Linked DNA regions of Drosophila melanogaster. The protein of the gene in region 1 binds, or shares a complex with, the protein of each later gene. Each region holds a gene or a part of one and is shown in the gene's direction. Other genes may lie near its edges. The genes, in order: Ciao1 and galla-2.

Region 1 (7,073 bases):
GTCCCAAGGAGGAGGACGAGGAGATAGCTAGCGACGATGAGGAGTACAACAGCGATCTGGGCGGCGATGACAACACCTTGGCATTTTCATCCGACGAGGGCGAGGAGGAAACGCCGCAGGACAAGCGCCTGCGTCTGGCCAAACAGTATCTGTCGGAGATCGAGAAGCAAGAGGCGGAACGCGCCGAGGATCGGGAGCTGGCCCAAAGCGTGGAGCAGCGCTTGCAAACGGAATACTTGGATAGCGTGGGCAAACTGCGCCGGAACATTGCTGGCAGCCTGAAAGCCTGCGAATCGAGCCGCATCCTCAAGCACAAACTCCACCACACGCCTATCTGTGCCCTTGCACTCAGTCCGGATGGTAAATTCCTCTACACGGGAGCCAAATCGCAATTCCTACTTAAGTGGTGCACGGAAACGGGGAAGGTGCTGGAGAAATCGGACGTGCTGTCGCATCGCGAGGAACCAGAAACGGGCAAGAAAAGGCGATCGCATGTCATCAGCATATGCCTGTCCTCGGACATGAAGTATCTGGCCTTGGCCGAAGGTGGTCCACACATTCAAATTTGGTGTCCCCAGACGATGAAGCACATTAAGACTCTTAAAGGCCACCGGGATAGTGTGGCAGGTCTGGTCTTTCGCAAAGGCACACATGACTTGTACTCGGCAGCCAAGGATCGATCGGTGAAAATCTGGTCCCTGGATGAGATGGCCTATGTGGAGAGTTTGTGAGTACTATGCTAGTTAATCCCCCTTAATATCAGACATTTAACGAGCTCCTCCTTTCAGATTCGGTCACCAAACGGCAGTAACTAGCATAGATGCACTGAGTCGAGAGCGCGCCATTACCGCTGGCGGTTCGGATTGCTCCTTGCGCATTTGGAAGATCACAGAGGAATCGCAGCTGATCTACAATGGACACAAAGATAGCATTGAGTGCGTTAAGTACATCAACGATGAGCATTTTGTGTCTGGTGGCATGGATGGGTAAGTTGGGAGTCTGGCTAACTAATTCAGTATGGAAGTAACAACACCATTTTACAGAGCAATCGGTTTATGGAGCGCTTTGAAAAAGAAGCCCATTTGTACAACGCAACTGGCGCACGGAGTGGGCGAGAATGGCGTGGCCAACTGGATAACCGCCATTGCTGTGGTGGTCAACACGGATTTAGTGGCAACAGGTGGGAATTGCGCATATTTCTTACTGCGAACTGTAATTAAATATTCATGATTCTAGGTTCTTGTGACGGTTGCGTCCGTCTTTGGCAGACTAATCCCAACGCGCGTAAAATGAACCTAATCCAGAGCATATCCATCGCCGGCTTCATCAACGGACTGGCTTTCAATGCCGATGGCAGCAAGCTGTTTGTGGCCACCGGACAGGAGCACCGCCTGGGTCGCTGGTGGCGACTCAAGGAGGCAAAAAACCAAGTAGTTGTACTCGACGTTAAGTTACAGAGCGCGGCCAGCAGTTAGGTTAACTTCTAAGCTTAAGTAAAGTTGTATAGTTTTTGTAACAAGAAACGGCCTGAAAATATATACATAAAGATCATTTGTATCTTCTACCTGAAGGTTCTTACTTTCAAACATATAAAATTTATTTGTTCTTTATAAACAAGATCAAACGAATGTTTTTGAATTTATTAAATTTGCTTCAGATTGAAATTTAACTCCTTATATTAAAGTAAGGGGTATCTGGTCGTCTATTTCCATTAGCTCAAATATTTTTTCTAAAACCGATATTCGGTTTGTTATAACCGCAAATGGTTCCTTAGTGTTGGCTACTTTCAATAGCTAGTCATGGTCACACTGGCCCTGTTACAAAACAATAAGTGCTGAAATGTTGCCGAAATTAAAAACCGGTGGAGGGTTCTTCTCCTATTTTAAGACTGAAAAGGGCCGAAAACTCGTATTCTACGCGGCGGGAGCCACCACAGTGGGCCTCTTTCTTGGAAACTTCCTGCCGCACACATTCGGCCTGAAATATTACCGCGATTTCGTGCAATGCTACCAGTGGGTGAGAAAACTTTTGGTGACTGGAAGCGATTCTAACATCCCACTTCTTTTCATAGACACGGCGTGGGGCGTCCAGTGCCGGAGGCAGTGCAGCAGCGCCTGGAAAAGGCATTGGATCAGCTGGGCGTGACGCCCTTTGAGCGAAAGTTTGTGAAGCCCTTCACCGTCTTTGGATTCGATGTTTTCCAGGCGGGCACCACTAAGTTTCGATTTGGAGGCGCTTTGGGCATACCGGTGAACTATGGATACGACAGTCTGGAGGAGATTAAGCGGGCAGACATTCGGTTTAGAGACAAACAGATCAACTGGAGTTCTCCCAGCGGAAAACTGCTAGAGGAAGCCATCGTTTTGAATGAGGATGAACAGATTTTCGGTCTTAGCAAGGCTGTTCTGCAGATGCAAACCCATCGGGTACTGCTCAACTCCATCTTTCCCAGCGTCAGCTTTCTTATGGTTTACACCATGGGTCACTACCTCAACCTGCGGCTAGATCTCTTCGCCCGCCATGGAAGCGTGAGTTTTCAACCTCTCTCACTTTTAAAATTTTTTACTGATTTCCGTTTTTCAACTACCAGGTGCGGTTTGTGCTCTACAGCATTCTGGGTCTGTTTGGCTTAGGGCTCTGGTCCTTCATGAAAGACTACAATCAGGTCTCTACGGACGCAGAGATTGACCAGCGACTGGCCACGATGGGTCCCCAACTTGTGGCAGCTGGAGCTAGCTTTTACGACAAACATCTAAAGAAGAACATCGCGCTGAGGGAGCTGATTGGAAATGACGTTTACACTGCACTGGGCAACGAAAACTATATGATTCGGCAAAAGTCCATGCCGCTAACAGCACGAAAATCTTTCTTCCTGGAGAAGCTGGAGGAACTCAAAAAGGCGCAACAGCCTGAAACAGAGTAAACACACATTTATTGTTACATTTTTATTGCCGGTTGAAGAAAATATATATGTTTCCAATAACTTTACAAATATCCTTGTTGTGTAGCCTATAACAGTGGATGATAGTTGTCCTAAACCTAACAAAATTTCGAGTGGATTATCTCGCCTAGGAGTCTCGAAAATTGACTAGAAATCATGTTATAAATCTGGAATGACCAATGGCCAATGCACTTAAAACGCTTCCTCGCCCACAACATCACTGATGGTGGCCACCAGGCGACGTGCATGCTCCACGGCGCATGTGGCGGTTACCAGTCCCAGATGAATGCAATACAACTCGTAGACGCGCACTTTGGCCGGTGACAGCTTGGGGAAGCACAACTCCGCCAGATCGTGGTAATAGTCCATTGTAAGAGCACCTGGTTCTGTTGGGGATTTCGAACCGTTGCCACTGGCTGCTCCTGTGGACAGAAAGTGGTGCTGCAAATCCACGACGGTACTAAGAACGCCACCAGACATGTCCTCGAACCAGAGGAAGTACGAGTAATGGAATGCCTTATCCTTCCACATCACTGTGGTCTGGCCCTTCTTAAGGTAATTTCTCGCGATCTCCACCATGCTCCAGAGTTTTGTCTTTGGCACCAGCTGGTTCGGTCGCAGATCCGGAGCAAGCATTTGTCCTCGGCTGCGATTGACGTACATAAAGTGCACCAGACCCGGAAAATCCTCCAAATAAGCATCAATGGATATGTTACGAGTGGCCTTAACGGCCAGAAATTCAGCGAACTCCAGTAGCTTGGCTTCCACATTCGCTGCCGTATCAGAGAGTTGATCCAGCTCATGGACACTTGAGCTGTCGCAGCAGGCCAGTGTGAATATCTGCTTCAGTTCCTCTCCGAACGAGGGCAAATTCGACTCAATCCTCACGAGCAGCTCCCGCTCAAAGTTCTTGAAGTACTCAGTGTACATCTTGCGAAGATTCTCCCATTTAGCGGCGAACTTCTTCGTGCAGTTCTCTAGGTCATCGGTTTCCGATCGCTGTTTCAGATATCGCTTCAAAGCGGTCAAGGCCTGCACAATAAACGATTCGAGGTTCTCGAAGGCGGGCTTCAGGGCATCCGAATCGCCCTGATGCTGAACAGCCACGATTTTTTGAAGCACAAAGAAGGAATCGTAGATGCAGCTGGTCAGTGGCATGTGGGCGTACTCGATGACCTGCAGGAGAACTTGGTTACCATGGAGACGCGAGATGTGCACGATACTGGGAACGCAGCCAGAGTTCACATCATAGGAGACACCCTGCAGGAATACAGCTACTGCTCGCTGGGAAGGGGACTTTGGCGCTTGCAGGGCGCGTGACATGAGGCTGAGGAAGAGTAGGTCGGCGGCAGCAAGCGGCAGAGCTTGCCGAGTGCTGTTCGCGGCCACCAGCTTGTTGGAAACGAGCAACAGGGCGTGGGCTCGGGGCAGTCCGAGCTGGCGCAAGTGCTCAAGCGTGGCGTCCAGCGTCAGATGCACTGTCCTCTTTAGTTCCGTGTTGATCAGCAGCCTGGGCATGGCCTCCAGCAGGTACGTCTGATCCTCCTCCCACAACAAAGTCTCATAGCAGTCGAGGCACTGCGTCAGCAACTCCTGTTGCATGGCCCCCGCCTGGGCGGCAAACAAATTGGCGCCGTAACAATAGCGCGTCAGCGTAATGGCCACACCCATTTGGCGACCCAGCAGCTCCACGGGTATTTGTCCGATCTTCAGAAAGGTGAAGCCAAGAAGTTCGCCGAACACCAAATTGAAGCCTTGCTCACACTGCAGGCTGGAGTAGGCATTATCGAACTGGCACTGCATTATTCGCTGAGATCCAACGATGGGGCTGAAAATCTGCAGCAGTATGTTGCTGTCCAGGGAGCCGCCGGACTGGAGCAGGCCCTGGGTGGTGGCCACACTCCGGATCTTCTGCGCCAGCGGCTCGTTAAGCTTCTGGTATACAACATCGTTGGCGCTGTTAAACACAATCAGTCCGTTCATTTTCTTATCAGCATTGGCAAAACACCAAATACACAACAAAACTTTCACCAGTGTCACTGGTGCTGGGTAACGGAATTCGGTGTGTGTTCTGATAAGAAAAGGTGAAGACTTCAAGTCAGCATTTAACAACACTAGAGCGATTCAGCTCTGAGCAATTCAACGCTTTTCAAGCCAGAATTATATATTAAAAGCCTAGTATACGTTCGACTTTTTTTATCCGAATTGCCAATTGAAATTGCTTTTAGTTGAGTTACTAAGTATTGAACTGTAATAAGTTTCCTGATCAAATTAATTTATAATTTATAATATATGAATTTTCAAATTTATTGCATTTTTTTATTATTGCAAAGCAATATCGCTTTGCTTAGATATGAAGAACACAATTTTAAAATTTAATTTTATCCCGATTTACAAATTAAGCTAGATGAACGACTTCTGCCGACGTTTGACCACACTGACGACAGCTGACTTTCTTCTTCTTGCGACATGCGCTTATGTTATCATTATTTGGACAGACAGTGATTTGTCCACTAATACAGCACTTGACCATCAATGGGACGTTTAATTCTGGAACACACGCTGCAGGGCCACAAGGGGCGCATCTGGGGAGTGGCATGGCATCCTAAGGGCAACGTATTCGCCTCGTGCGGCGAGGACAAAGCCATCCGCATTTGGTCGCTGACCGGGAACACTTGGAGCACAAAGACCATCCTATCCGATGGCCACAAGCGCACTATTCGCGAGATCCGATGGTCTCCATGCGGTCAGTACTTGGCCTCGGCCAGCTTTGATGCCACCACGGCGATCTGGTCGAAATCCTCGGGAGAATTCGAATGCAACGCAACATTGGAGGGTCACGAAAACGAGGTGAAGAGCGTTAGCTGGTCGCGATCCGGCGGACTACTGGCCACCTGTTCGCGGGACAAGTCCGTGTGGATCTGGGAGGTTGCCGGCGATGATGAGTTCGAGTGCGCCGCCGTTTTGAACCCGCACACACAGGACGTGAAGAGAGTGGTGTGGCATCCAACCAAGGACATTTTGGCCTCCGCCTCGTACGACAATACCATAAAAATGTTCGCAGAGGAGCCCATAGACAACGACTGGGATTGCACAGCCACTCTTACTTCACACACAAGCACGGTTTGGGGCATTGACTTCGATGCTGATGGCGAGCGCCTGGTTTCCTGTAGCGATGACACCACAATAAAGATTTGGAGGGCCTACCATCCCGGAAATACAGCCGGAGTGGCTACGCCCGACCAGCAAACCGTGTGGAAGTGCGTGTGCACAGTGTCCGGGCAGCACTCGCGGGCTATCTACGACGTGTCCTGGTGCAAGCTTACAGGTCTGATAGCGACTGCCTGTGGCGACGACGGCATTCGTATCTTTAAGGAGAGCAGCGACTCCAAGCCAGACGAACCCACGTTCGAGCAGATAACCGCGGAGGAAGGCGCTCACGATCAGGACGTAAACTCGGTGCAGTGGAATCCTGTGGTGGCCGGGCAACTGATATCATGCAGCGATGATGGCACCATTAAAATTTGGAAAGTGACCGAGTAACATAAGGATTATTGTTTGATATATTTAAGTGGGTAATTCTGGAACTTAATTTTTGTACAGTGTCTGCGTAATAAAAAATTAAAGTATTCAAATGATGGATGAAGTGTGTCATACACGATTATGGGATGCATTACACCTAATATGGATTGCTATTTGCTGAGGAACGGTTCCTGCAACGTTTTGTACAGCTTCTTGGCCTTCCGGGGACCCAGTCCCATCACCTGGGAGAGTCGCTCCTCGCTGGCATTGATTATGTTGCCCAGGTTGCCAAAGGTGTGCAGCAAGGCGGCAGCATCAGTCTTGTTCACCGGCTTGATGTTGGTGAGAGCAGCGAGTAGCTATGGACATTGGGATATTGCATTACAGTGGCGATACTGGCAATGTAAACATGCGTACCTTCTGGTGTGGATTAGACTCCACTCGCTCCATGATCAAATCTGGCGGACGCTTCTCGAACTGTTTGTACGTCTCAATGATTTTGCCCGCCTCCTCAGCGTTCCAGGCCAACATCATTGTCAGGTCGGCTAACAGTGATATCCTGGTCAAGCTCTTGAGGGCATTGTTTGGCTCTGGTGTGTCCACCTGGACC
Region 2 (6,259 bases), on another chromosome or scaffold:
ATTAAATAATTAACGCCCAGTCTTTTTATATAAGCATGTAAATATTTGTGTTTATTTTAGTTCGTTTCGCTGACTACAAATCTCGTGATGGTCCCATTAGCGACTCTTAACATAGGAAGCCTAGGCCTTAGCTTTCTCCTTGCTTTCCTCGGAACTGGAAGTGGACTTATCCGCGTGCTTGTTCTTCTCGAAGAGCTCGGCCACGGGAATGGGATGGGGGATGTGGAGATTGTGGATGGACGGAGTGGTGCTTTCCAGCTCCGATTTGGTGGTGGATGGGAGATCGGTGGTGGTGGTGGCTTTGGTTTGCGTGGGCACGGGAATATCGCGCTGGTGACGCTGTTCCGGCGCCTTTCCACCGGCCAGAGATTCGATGGCCTTGTGGAGCTCCTGGGATCGCTGGGGATTGTGCTGGAGCGACTCACGGGCCTTCACGCTGTCGGGTTTCTCCACAGTCTCGCGCTTTTCCTGCTTCTTGGGCAGCTCGGCGGTGTGGGCCACAGCGGGCAGGGCATGGGGCAGCGAAAGATCCTCCACCTGAGGACGATCACCTGCCTCATCCTTGTGGCCCTCCTCGTGGTGAGCTTCCCTCTTTTCCTTCTTGTCCTCATGTGTTTCGGGAGCCTGCTTCACTTCCTCCTTATGTGGAGCTGCATCATCACCATGGTGGCCTTCCTCGTGGTGAGCCTCTCGCTTTTCCCTTTTGGCATCATGAGCTTCGGGGGCCTGCTTCACTTCCTCCTTATGAGGAGCCTCATGGTCTTGGTGACCCTCCTCATGGTGAGCCTCTCTCTTTTCCTTCTTGGCGTCATGGTCCTCGGGAGCTTGCTTCACTTCCTCCTTCTGGGGCACTGCATCGTCACCATGGTGACCCTCCTCGTGGTGAGCTTCCCTCTTGCGCTTGTGGTCCTGTGGCCCAGCCGGAGAAGGCTTCTGGTCATGAATAGGAACGGCCGGCTGCGAGTGATGCAGCTGTTCGTGGGCCTCCACGCTGTCGGGCTTCTTGGGTTCATTACGCCTCTGGCGATTCAGGACGGGAGCATCCTTCAGCAAGACTACCTTGGCGGTGGGCTTGGGATCAACGAGCACATCGGGGCTGATGGGACTGGGCCTAGAGAGCTCCTCAGAGGTAGACTCCTTGACATCCAGAGGTGCTGCGTGGCAGAAAGCCACCAGGGCTAAGAGAATAATCTAAGAAAATGTGCAACACAAATAGATTAAAACGTATTTTATATTCAAAAGATAAAATTTATAGCCCTCATTAATTAACCGATTACAATAGCTTGTATGGAAAACTCAGGGATAATCTTCAAGAGAACTGAGATCTTGACTTACAACCGACTTCATGCTGACCGCTTGGAGATGTGACCCAAACTGCTGATCTCAGCCAAGTGGCGACCCATTTTATAAACCCAAATGGGCGACCGCAGGCTTCTCCACTCCGTTGGCAGCGGCTGTTAACCAGTTTGTAATTCGGTGCTAATTGCGAATAGATGCACGCCAAGTGCGCGGAAACCCGTTCACAATGTAAATCTGCTTTTCTACGTTGATATTGATAAGTCTGGCTAATTATAACCCGAGGAAATCGGCGTCAAGTGCGCCGGCTTCTCGGCAACGCTGCTTCTCGTAAAAGCGGCAAAATGGAATAAAAATATGGAAAATAAAAGCGGGTTTGGCCGGCGAAATGGGCTCAAGGCTTAGTCAGCAGCGCAGCCAAGTACGGACTCATCCACATCCACATCTGCTGGCCATTTAGCACTGGCTCGCAAAAAAGTTAAGCTCGGCTAACTTAAGTTAAGTATTCCCGCAGCTAATTTGAAGAGCACATAAATATGGATCGCGAGGCGTCTGTAATTACGCCCTTTACGTAAGATGACAGGTAAACATATCAATTGTGCGATGTTTTCCTGGAAGTGTACGTTGTGATTTGATTGATCTAGTAATTGCCCTGATTTTCTTGAATTTGTATTCAAATAATTCCAACCTTAAAAAAGGCTACTGTCATTAATTAAAAAGATTTCATTAACTAACTTTAATAGCGTAAGATGCGCATAAATGTATAACTAATTAAATGCTCTGTTAGATGAAACTATGAAAATGAGATCAATTTCGAATTCAAATAATGTTGGCGCCCAAAAAGTGTGTGCACACCATAAACTAGACGTGGTGTTATTTTGTATCTTATAGTCTAAAAACTGCGGACACACTGAAAGACATAGCTTATTGTTTCTCTTTGCTCTTCGCCAAAAAAACGTGTAAATAAAGGGTTTTCAAGAAAAGAACAATACAAAATGCCCACGGAAATCGAGAACATCAACCCCAATGTCTACGACAGAATCAAGGAAAGGGTATTAACCGCCAACGAAGAAGACGAAAACGTGCCCGATCCATTTGACAAACGAGAGATTTTCGGTGAGTTCAAAGAAGATAGCTAAGGAATATATCTTATGACTCGCGTATTTCCCAGATCTCATCAGAAATATTAATGACCCGGAACATCCTTTGACCCTGGAGGAGCTGCATGTGGTGCAGGAAGATCTAATCCGGATAAACGATAGCCAGAATTCCGTGCACATCAGCTTCACCCCGACGATTCCCCATTGCTCGATGGCCACTTTGATTGGCCTCTCCATCCGGGTGAAGTTGCTCCGCTCGCTGCCACCTCGCTTTAAGGTCACCGTGGAAATAACGCCCGGCACCCACGCCTCCGAGCTGGCGGTGAACAAGCAGCTGGCAGACAAGGAACGAGTGGCCGCCGCCCTGGAGAACAATCACCTCGCCGAGGTGATCAACCAGTGCATCGCCGCCAAGGGTTAACTACATGATTTTATCCTCGTTTTAGATATATATAAATATATATATAATGATGTTGGTTTAGTAATAATAATTTTGTTTTAAAAGCAGTTTGTGCCTGTTTTCCTTTCCCGAAATTTGGATCGATTTTAATTTTTCAGACATTGTAATGTTTATTATCTTAATTGTTAGTTATTAGTAGGTAGCAATAACATGGACATTCGCCATACATCATTTAATTATTGGGTACTCTTTCTCAGCTGGTTAAGTAGTAATAATAACCTTTTACTCAAATCGAATTGTCTGTCAGAGAAACTAAATTATTTCCTATTTCAAGTTTGCATTCCACGTATGGTTAGGAATCATCATTGTTTTTATGTCTATGACTAGACTTGTTTGGATAGATAAATAATCCAAAATGGTTTTTAAACTATCCAACCAATCTTTATGGTTTGCCATTAAAAACATGTAAATGCTTTGCTTCTACTTCTCTAGTTATTATAATTGCTATTAAATCTTTTATTTATTACCTGAGCCTATGCTAACTAAAAGCTAATAATCGAGGTCAGCAACTTGAAAATTCACACCGGCTTCGATTGATTGATGGTTTTTGATTGCACGGCATTTAAACTGAGACTAATAGTATTTGCTGAGCATTTCCATATTTTTTATAGTAATGCGTTAGCTATCCGCAATTAATTGTATATTTGATTGTCTTTCGGGACCGTATCTTATCTGAACTGAAAACACTCACCAATTTCATTTATAGCTGATCATGTTTTTATATACATTCGTATCTTCCATGACGAGTTTATTTTTACAGCGATTACATCTACCAAAACTTTGTCTCCAACTTCTCAAATCAGGTTTCATCAGCAAGAAGTTTGCCTCTGTACATTTACAAATTATATTTTAGCAGCAAAACGTTCGGATGATGAAGGACTATAGACTAAGGGGTTAAATTAACGTAACAAGACACAGCGCTCAGCGGCGATTACAGGATGGAGGAACTATCCCTGCTTGTTCGGCGGCTCCTTTAGCCGCATGTGCGGCTCCGCGGAAATGGGTTTTGCCACTTTCGTGGGATCGAACTTGTACGTCTTGACCAGCGGACCCTTGCCGGCCTTGGCGAATCGGATCTCGTCCAGGCGCTGTCGCTCCTCGATTTCTTTCGAGATCTTCATGTTGTCCCAGGCTGGAAAAGTCAAAACAGAAAGGTTGTAAATCGAAAGAGGTAAAAGATGAAGCGGGACAGTCCTTGTTACTTACACTCCTTCATTCCGCCGACGAATCCCTTCTTAGGTGGCAGTGCACTGGGCGCATGGGTCAGCATCTTTTCGATCTTGAAGTACTCCCTCACGGAGGGAATCCTTAGCACCGCAACCTGCCCCAACGATATAAAGTTACTGCACGCCCAATAGGTCAAAATGGCAGCGGGGAAGTTCATCGTAAACGGGAAGATAACAATGGGCAGGGCTCTGAGCACATATTTCATGGTGTTCATGTTGGCAGCCGATAAGCGAGCCGAATCCGTTCCGATCTCAATGGTCAGGTACAACGTGGCACTGGTGATTAAGGGCAGTAGATAGAAGGGATCCGCCATTGTGAGATCCGTGAACCAGAAGAGTCCGCCATCCCGCATTGATTCGACCGGCGCGTTAGCCATCTGTCGCAGTCCCATGAAGAAGCTAATGAAGAGCGGTGCCTGGGCCAAGGGAACTACCATGTTCTTGAGCGGATTGACACCCTTCTCCCGCATGAACAGCATCATTTCCTGGGCATAACGAGCGGACTCAATGGCGTTTCCCGACTGCCTGGCCTCGGTCATTTTCAGCTGCAGCATCTGCATCTGCGGCATATTGTTGTTCATCTTGGCAGAGTTCCTTTGGGCCAAGATGACCAATGGAAAGATTATGGTTCGCACTGCGAGTGTTCCAATGGCGATGGTTCCCCACCAGGGAATATCCCACGTGCAGTGCAAGAATTCCAAACAGTTCTGTACCATGCCCACCGGAGACCAGCCGCCCAAGCCAATGGAGGCGAAGGAGGGTTCGCCAGCGGCATTCATCACATCCATTACATTCAGACCATCGGCGGGTGGAGGCACTGGAGCGGCGGGTATGTCCGGCAGATCCACTAGTTCCGTTTTCGGCACAGCCTGCATGAACTCCTCGCCTTTGGTGGCTGAAACTCCCGCTGCAGTTGCTCCACCGCTGGCGAAACGAAGCTGGCCGAGATTGGACCATTTTTCGGGGGCCGCTAAGGGCAGACTGCTGCCCCTGGTAATCCTTTGGAGGTAGAGATCTCTCCTGCTGCCCGTGGATGCCTGGCAAACAGAGTTTTCATTGAAATTTGCGTACATTTTCGAACACAAACATTGGCCAACTTGCAGGTTATGTCACAGGTCGCCGGCTCTTTTTCAATGATCTTCACTCACCTGTGGGGTGAAACGGCCGGCTGCGGAAGTCATGGCCATTGCCGCGTTTGTTGTCCTCCAAAGCTGCATCCTGTGGGCCAACATTTTCCGCGCAGCGCTCGTAATTTGGTCAAAATAAAATTAAATGATAAAATTCGCCTCGTTTTGAGCTAGGCGAGTGCGAGCGAGATGGACACAGTTACGCGTGCGGGTGAACGGCAATAAAGAAGCAGAGTCACAGCTGTTCCGGAAAAGCGCCCTCTGGCGCTACTTAGCAAGACTATAGATTACCGCTAAAAGTTTAAATGAAAAGAAATAAATTCAAAAAACTTAAATAATAAAAAACTTTAATTAATAAATTAATTAATTTGGAAATTTATACATTGTAGTTTAGTTAAAAAAAAAACAAAACGAAATACAAAAACAAAAATGTAATATGACAAGTTTCTTTGGGACAAATTTTGATGTTTTTAATACTTATATTTATCAAACATTTCGCTTACATTACTTTTTACGTTTCTGGGTATGTACATCAACCTCTTGAGAAATTAAGCTTGGTCAAAATTTCGTGTTGACTTAAAATTTTATTTGAAATAAAATCACTACTGACAAAAATCCAGTAGCCTGCCTCTTAACTTTCTCAAATTCTTTAGAAGTTCTCTTTTATTTCGATACGAATCTATATCATTATTATTCTTATTATTACTATTATATTATATTCAATGTAAATATTAACATTGGTTAAAACTCCGTAACGAAAATATGACATTTTAAGGGGCATTTAAACGTAAATATAAAACATTTTTTGATTGCTAGTTGAGTCTGGAAAATGTTCTTAATTCAATTTCAAACAAGAAATTGGTTCTCAAGCAAACAACATTGTGGAAGGTGCTAAAAGTCATCTTCAAATTAGGAGACCTATAAATTAAGAGTCAGTTAATTTTTGGAAAACTACATTAATAATCTCGCAACTCGCTGCTAAAAGCTATTTAAATATTACCCGCTCTATGACATCCCGGAAGGCCAACAGGTTATGGGAAAATGCTAAAA

Evidence for each region.
Region 2: the proteins of Ciao1 (region 1) and galla-2 are in contact, whole or in part, in a crystal structure (PDB 6TBN), measured with the Drosophila melanogaster proteins. Residues at the interface, in NP_610996.1 of Drosophila melanogaster: Arg16 (codon at 5,522), Trp18 (codon at 5,528), Arg60 (codon at 5,654), Thr61 (codon at 5,657), Arg63 (codon at 5,663), Phe79 (codon at 5,711), Glu105 (codon at 5,789), Lys107 (codon at 5,795), Arg123 (codon at 5,843), Asp150 (codon at 5,924), Lys152 (codon at 5,930), Tyr168 (codon at 5,978), Asn170 (codon at 5,984), Ser195 (codon at 6,059), Thr196 (codon at 6,062), Trp198 (codon at 6,068), Thr216 (codon at 6,122), Ser248 (codon at 6,218), Gly249 (codon at 6,221), Gln250 (codon at 6,224), His251 (codon at 6,227), Ser252 (codon at 6,230), Arg253 (codon at 6,233), Tyr256 (codon at 6,242), Gly272 (codon at 6,290), Asp273 (codon at 6,293), Asp274 (codon at 6,296), Arg277 (codon at 6,305), Glu299 (codon at 6,371), Gln304 (codon at 6,386); in NP_648416.1 of Drosophila melanogaster: Ser74 (codon at 2,566), Pro106 (codon at 2,662), Lys109 (codon at 2,671), Thr111 (codon at 2,677), Ala124 (codon at 2,716), Lys127 (codon at 2,725), Gln128 (codon at 2,728), Asp131 (codon at 2,737), Lys132 (codon at 2,740), Glu133 (codon at 2,743), Arg134 (codon at 2,746), Ala136 (codon at 2,752), Ala137 (codon at 2,755), Glu140 (codon at 2,764).

What each region holds. Positions count from the first base shown.
Region 1 is NT_033778.4:14,853,363-14,860,435, reverse strand, and holds Ciao1 (Ciao1), read left to right. Parts: upstream 1-5,387; 5' UTR 5,388-5,476; coding exon 5,477-6,484; 3' UTR 6,485-6,573; downstream 6,574-7,073. Other genes in the region: U3-55K (U3 small nuclear riboprotein factor 55K), read left to right, coding at 1-727, 789-986, 1,044-1,180, 1,237-1,475; CG33506 (uncharacterized protein), read left to right, coding at 1,840-2,012, 2,072-2,528, 2,591-2,923; HPS1 (Hermansky-Pudlak syndrome 1), read right to left, coding at 3,134-4,924; Ercc1, read right to left, coding at 6,634-6,822, 6,881-7,073. UniProt on the Drosophila melanogaster protein: Essential component of the cytosolic iron-sulfur (Fe/S) protein assembly machinery. Required for the maturation of extramitochondrial Fe/S proteins.
Region 2 is NT_037436.4:10,880,672-10,886,930, forward strand, and holds galla-2 (galla-2), read left to right. Parts: upstream 1-2,218; 5' UTR 2,219-2,291; coding exon 2,292-2,412; intron 2,413-2,467; coding exon 2,468-2,817; 3' UTR 2,818-2,902; downstream 2,903-6,259. Other genes in the region: CG6409 (uncharacterized protein), read right to left, coding at 121-1,191, 1,336-1,347; OXA1L mitochondrial inner membrane protein, read right to left, coding at 3,804-3,988, 4,063-5,119, 5,231-5,314. UniProt on the Drosophila melanogaster protein: Component of the crb-galla-Xpd (CGX) complex which is essential for proper mitotic chromosome segregation in early embryos. The CGX complex is also required for cell proliferation in developing wing disks.